Saccharomyces cerevisiae S288C: one gene and its partner. The gene in region 1 interacts genetically with each later gene. Each region holds a gene or a part of one and is shown on either strand. Other genes may lie near its edges.

Region 1 (3,255 bases):
CTTGGCCAAAAATTGTACGCAAGAGCACGGCCCCAAACATCCGCCAAAGAGATGTTGAAACCGGCGTCTTTTTTATCCTGAACGTCATCTGATATGTCGTCCCATCTACTCCCAGTCTTAAAGATGTTAATGCCGTCTGGGGTAAGAATTGAATGAGAGATGTCCCAAATTGAGTTAGATTCTGTTGTATTATCCACGATAGCTTGCACAGACGTCCAGTTGTTCCAAGCCAAAGTACTTGTTAACCAGTTACCACCCGACAGACCTGCCAAGTAAGTTGCACCTTGCAGCAGCCCACCAAGACCATGCTCATTTGCGCCATCAGTACGATTGTCCATAGCAGCAAGCATACCAGCACCAGACAACATGGCACGGTAACCACCACCAGAACAGGCGACGGCAATCTTAGGCATATTGGAAGAGTTGCTACCAAAAAGAGTGGATAGCAAGGAAGTGTCACTGAAATTCGAAGTGGCCCTATTCAAAAAAGAATGCAAAGCCTCCTTGGTGTATGCATCTCTTTTTTTCAGCCATTCTGTTTCGTTATCTGACAAACCAGATGCTTCTCTGACTAAGTTAATATCATCATCACAGGTTACGTTCGCAGGGACGTAACTGTTATTTGGTGACCAAGCGTTAACGTTCTCTGTTAGAGAAGTCAAAACTGCAGCAGAAACCAACAAACTCTGCAACTTCATGGTTTTGTTTTATTTTCTTTCCCGTTTGCCCTTAGGATGGATAGCTTCGTGTAATTTACGTTATATGAACGAAAAAAGAGAGAAATGTTAAGAAAAGAACGAAGAATTGATTAGTTAGTATAACCTAATAAATGTAGAACCTTACAGCGAAGAGACGTTTCCGTTGGTTAAATGTGGTGGAAGCGTCTTTATATATTAGATGATGTAGTTTACCTAAGCAGTTAGAAGAAAATAAAGTAACCAAGTCATCTTCTAAGCAAAAATAGGAGACGTAAATGAATGTTGCTTAACTGAGAAAAATATGCGGGAATAAGCGGACATGTTACTGTATGAGGTTATTTCCCTTTATAGATAAGGGCGTAAACCGCATATAATGAGGAAAGGCGAAGTTAGAAACGGACTTTTTAGGTCGCTTTGAAGAAGTCCGTGCAGGAAACCCATGCGTCCACTTATTTTAGCACTATGTGGCATGAGAAAGCTTTGGAAGGAATAAACGTTAGGACCCCACTGCGCCGCTTTTACGCAGGGCAATTTCGGGGACAAAGGGGGCTGAAGGAATACAATTCCGATCCAAGGCAACAAGTAGGTCAGAACCCTTTATTAACCTGCGCTTGTTAGTGGCTTCCTTTGTACTCTGTCCGTAATCCAGCATAGCGCTGAATTGCTGAAAGATATGGGTAGCGGTCAGATGAGAAGGGCAATCGTCAGGACTTCTGTTGAAAAGCGGACTAAACATAGGCATTATCATTCTTAGAGTTTTACGAGCAAATAGAATCGAGTGACTTCCGTCGTTGCTAACAGGCGCAGTAATAATAACCGCGGACGAAAGCCACGCAGGCAAAGAATGCTTTCGCTGAAATATCGGAGTCTTGCTATTGTTCAGGGCTTTGCCGGTGCGTAAATAATAGGCTGAAGCGAATTTGATTTCCCGCACAAAAAATTTTTGCTCGAGTAAGTCATACATATATCTTGCATGCGTAAAAAAAATTGCAATTGCTGAAGATTGAACGACCGCCCACCGGTATTTTCATCTCTTCTAGATCAAGACTAACTGCTCGTTCAGTACAAGTATTTTACGATAGTCCATATTACTCTTCAATTAATATTTTTTTTTTATATTCTGGCCCGTTTTTGACACAATTTTTTCCTTCTCTTTTTCTCCCTATAAACTATGCAGAAGTAGCGATAATCACGATCTTGTTAATGATTCACATGTGCGCAAGTCGTATTGTCTGTCTAGATAGTGAGATGCCTTCTAAATAACAGGAGAGAGGCAAGATAGCATAACGGCGCAATGAAGGTAATTTCTGCCAGTTTTCTTTGCATTGACGACTGAAAGGGCCCTTGTAAGAGCCGCTCGACAGGGCGACGCCACAGTAGAGTCGCTAACACCGAAATATGCATATTGAAAAACATCAAAGTATAAAAGAACAAAGAGGGTGGCATCTGCAGATCAAAAAAAACAATAACCACCAAACAAGACACTAAAAAAGGTCGTAAAAAGGTCAAAAGTTAGAATGGTTAAGGTATATATTCATGACAACAAGGTTGACTCCGATTATCGCGCACCCCACAATTCTGGAACAGAACTTTCCCTGGATGAATTAGCCAAGTTAGGAGTGATTTATAAATACTGTGCAAATGAGGAAGAAGTGAATGAAATTGCTAGGCAAAGAGAATATAAAAATAGAGATGTGGTCAACATCTGCGAAGGTTCCTTCAAAAGTGAAGCAGAGTTTAATGAAAAACTAGCAACATTCTACCAAGAGCATTTACATGAAGACGAAGAAATAAGATACTGTCTCGAGGGTGCTGGATACTTTGACGTCAGGGATGCTTCCACACCAGAGAACTGGATTAGGTGTTTGGTAGAGTCAGGTGATTTACTGATTCTTCCACCAGGCATCTATCATCGTTTCACCTTGACAACTAGCAACCACATCAAGGCCTTGAGACTGTTTAAGGACGAGCCCAAATGGCAAGCTATCAACAGGTCAAATCAGGCTGATTCATTGCCTGTACGCAAGGACTACATTGCCCTGATCAATCAGTACTAAATACTGCATCATAATACATTATTCTTAATGTCTTACTTCTTTATATCTTTAAAGTAGCGTAGGGTGACTTCCCCGTCAAGAATGATTTTTAGTCTGTGAAATAGGAAAAGAAAAAAACACCAAAAGTGGAAAAAGAAACACCGGAAGTTTGAACGATTTTCGTATTATTTTTATATTTAGATGTTGGTCAAGTATTCATCTTTTCCTCCATTTATTTGCATACTTCTTCCATGGAGAATAGTGAAAAGTATAGGCCATAGTCGTAATATCAAAAAGCAAAGCCTTATCACTATTTATAAACATCAACAATCCTGAAAGCCAAAAACGATACGACATTTGATATTTTGATTTGGTTTCAGCGCCCTATTTTTTTTATAAAAACTATACGCATACTGTTGCATTCCTTTCTTTATAAAATTCAATAAAAAATTAATACTTTCCACAGATAAAGCTAGAGAATGTCAACAACAGGTCCGTTAGATGCTACTTTAATAAGGGAC
Region 2 (3,798 bases), on another chromosome or scaffold:
ACTATCAAGCATGGGCAAGTGTATGAAATGCATTTAAACGATGCAGCCAGAGCTTGTGGCCTTTTTTCTGGTTATCCCGATACGTTCAAATCTACGAGGTACCATTCATTGCATGTCAATGCCGAAGGCATTGACACCCTTTTGCCCTTATGCACAACCGAAGATGAGAACGGTATTCTTTTGATGAGTGCTCAAACGAAAAATAAGCCATGGTTTGGCGTACAGTACCACCCGGAGTCATGTTGTTCAGAATTGGGGGGGCTGTTAGTCAGTAACTTTCTCAAGTTGAGTTTCATAAATAACGTGAAGACAGGAAGGTGGGAAAAGAAGAAACTTAATGGAGAGTTTTCCGATATCCTATCTCGATTGGATAGGACTATTGATAGAGACCCCATATACAAGGTAAAAGAGAAATATCCGAAGGGCGAGGACACAACTTACGTTAAGCAGTTCGAGGTCTCTGAAGACCCGAAATTGACATTTGAAATTTGCAACATCATACGAGAAGAAAAATTTGTCATGTCATCTTCTGTGATTAGTGAAAATACGGGTGAATGGTCTATCATTGCTTTACCAAACTCCGCATCCCAGGTATTCACTCATTATGGAGCTATGAAAAAGACTACAGTTCATTATTGGCAAGATAGTGAAATTAGTTACACCTTGTTGAAAAAGTGTCTAGATGGTCAAGATTCGGATTTGCCTGGCTCCCTTGAGGTAATACATGAAGATAAATCCCAATTTTGGATCACTTTGGGTAAATTTATGGAGAATAAAATAATCGATAACCACAGAGAAATACCTTTTATTGGAGGTCTTGTTGGCATTTTAGGTTATGAAATAGGTCAGTACATTGCATGCGGCCGTTGCAATGATGATGAGAATTCCCTTGTTCCCGACGCCAAACTAGTTTTTATCAACAATAGTATAGTCATTAATCACAAGCAAGGGAAGCTTTATTGTATTTCTCTGGATAATACATTTCCAGTGGCATTAGAACAATCATTAAGGGACAGTTTTGTTAGAAAGAAGAATATTAAGCAATCCCTGTCCTGGCCCAAGTATCTTCCAGAGGAGATAGACTTCATTATAACTATGCCCGATAAACTTGACTACGCTAAGGCGTTTAAGAAATGTCAGGATTATATGCATAAGGGTGATTCTTATGAAATGTGTCTCACAACGCAAACCAAAGTTGTACCATCTGCGGTGATAGAACCCTGGAGGATTTTCCAGACCTTGGTACAAAGAAACCCGGCTCCATTTTCAAGTTTTTTTGAGTTTAAAGACATTATTCCCCGCCAAGATGAAACGCCTCCAGTTTTGTGCTTCTTAAGTACTTCTCCAGAAAGGTTTTTGAAGTGGGATGCAGACACATGCGAGCTACGTCCCATCAAGGGAACTGTGAAAAAAGGACCGCAAATGAACTTGGCAAAAGCCACACGAATCCTGAAGACACCAAAAGAATTTGGTGAGAACTTAATGATTTTGGACTTAATCAGAAATGACCTTTACGAGTTGGTTCCTGACGTTCGGGTGGAGGAGTTCATGTCCGTGCAAGAATATGCCACCGTTTACCAACTCGTTAGCGTCGTAAAGGCACATGGATTGACCTCTGCCAGTAAGAAGACGAGATATTCAGGCATTGATGTCCTTAAACACTCGCTTCCTCCGGGATCTATGACGGGAGCCCCCAAGAAGATTACTGTGCAATTATTGCAGGACAAGATAGAAAGCAAGCTAAACAAACATGTCAATGGTGGAGCACGTGGTGTTTACAGCGGTGTCACGGGATATTGGTCTGTGAATTCCAACGGAGATTGGTCTGTTAACATTAGATGTATGTATTCCTACAACGGCGGAACCAGCTGGCAACTCGGTGCAGGGGGGGCCATAACAGTCTTAAGCACACTAGATGGCGAACTAGAGGAAATGTACAACAAGTTGGAGAGCAACTTACAAATTTTCATGTAGATATTTGTATATTATTAGATATGTATGCAAACATTTTCTTTAGAATAATATACTATTCTTGTACGATGCAGAATTTTTTTTTTTTTTCGCTTTAGGAAAATGACGTTTTGTGCCGTGGAAAACCCTGGAAAAGGATATTGGAAAAAAGTTAAAGCATGGTCATTTAGGGAAGACTTTCCTTCCAATTTACTTATCAATAGGTTATAATGTATGCTTGACGGAGCAGAATTCTTTCAAACCATAAGATAATAGATATTATAACATTTTAGTACATAAAAGAGGCCCGAGAAAATAGATTTTAACTGGAATAATTTTTTGCAAGATGACAACAACCGTACCTAAAGTGTTTGCATTCCATGAATTTGCAGGAGTAGCTGAGGCAGTTGCCGATCATGTTATTCACGCACAAAACTCTGCCCTTAAGAAGGGCAAAGTCTCAAGGTCCACACAGATGTCCGGAACGAGCCTTAACGGAAATGGTAACACAGAATCCAAAACGATGGAGAGAGTAAATTCTGTAAGGAGTAATGCCTCCAGCCGTGGTGGTAGTGAAGACGGCGCCACTAAGAAATTGAAAAAGGAGAAAGAAAGGCGCTTCAAGATTGCGTTGTCCGGTGGTTCGTTAATCCAAGTGTTGCACGAAGGATTGTTGAAAAGAGACGACGTTCAATGGGGTAAATGGGACATTTACTTTGCTGATGAAAGACTAGTGCCCTTTAGCTCCAGTGAAAGCAATTACGGTCTTGCTAAGAGAAAAATATTCGATTTAATAGATACGGAGAAGTACGGAACTCCGAAAATTTATCACATTGATGAGTCATTGATTAACGACCCTCAAGAGTGTGCAGATAACTATGAGAAAATTCTAATTAAAGGATTTGCCGGTAGAGATTCTGTGAAACTACCGATGTTTGATCTGTTTCTGCTTGGCTGCGCTCCTGACGGTCACATAGCCTCGTTATTCCCCAATTTTCAAGAGAATCTACGTGAAAATCTGGCATGGGTCATACCTGTAGAAAATGCACCCAGCGGACCTTCGAATAGGATTTCACTGACCATCCCAGTGATTTGTCACTCTCATAGAGTCACCTTTGTTGTAGAGGGCGCCACAAAGGCGCCTGTAATCAAGACAATAATGGAAAGGCCTGAAAAGGGATTGCCTAGTAGTATTGTCAATGAGGGCGCCGCCGGTCGTGTTTCATGGTTTGTAGACGACGATGCTTTGAAAGATGTCTTTGTAATTAAGAAGAAGTACAAGTTTTATGATGATGAGAATTTGACTGAGTAGGTGTTTAATTTTTTGGGTTCTTTTTCTTTCTGATGATAATGACAACTAATGACAATACTATGATTTAACCTTAACCATTTTCTTTTTTTAGCTCTTTCTATCCCCACCCTTCCCTTTAGTAATCGCAATAAATCACCCTATGTTTTTGAATTTTCTCGAGAAGTAACTTTATATAAAACAAGTCATCTTAGTGACGTAGTGTGCATATATAACATACAACATATATAATATATACAATAACCCTTTAGAAAAAAATAATAACAACCACAGTGGATATTTCCCTTTTGGACCTATGGCTTCCGCTAAGAGAAAAGCATGCTTTTAAGTTTTCTTTTCTTTCAAGGAGATTATTTGGTCTTAAGCGAAGTGAGAGATTGAAACAAAATGTTAATTACAGAGTTTACGAAGAATCAGTTTGCAAGACCACCTTATTCGTATGGCATTATCAAGCTTTGTGTGTAGACTATCCACACAAACATGATTCAACATACATAGCAGTGGTAGGTATACAACGGATATAAAAACCTTAACTCTAC

What was found.
Region 2: mutations in ADI1 (region 1) and SOL1 together harm fitness more than expected from each alone (negative genetic interaction), as found in Saccharomyces cerevisiae (2 studies listed by BioGRID).

What each region holds. Positions count from the first base shown.
Region 1 is NC_001145.3:281,887-285,141, forward strand, and holds ADI1 (acireductone dioxygenase (Ni2+-requiring)), read left to right. Parts: upstream 1-2,215; coding exon 2,216-2,755; downstream 2,756-3,255. Other genes in the region: PLB1 (lysophospholipase), read right to left, coding at 1-698; YMR008C-A (uncharacterized protein), read right to left, coding at 1,195-1,662; ANY1 (Any1p), read left to right, coding at 3,214-3,255. UniProt on the Saccharomyces cerevisiae protein: Catalyzes 2 different reactions between oxygen and the acireductone 1,2-dihydroxy-3-keto-5-methylthiopentene (DHK-MTPene) depending upon the metal bound in the active site.
Region 2 is NC_001146.8:688,025-691,822, forward strand, and holds SOL1 (Sol1p), read left to right. Parts: upstream 1-2,296; coding exon 2,297-3,262; downstream 3,263-3,798. Other genes in the region: ABZ1 (4-amino-4-deoxychorismate synthase), read left to right, coding at 1-1,974. UniProt on the Saccharomyces cerevisiae protein: May be involved in regulation of tRNA subcellular distribution.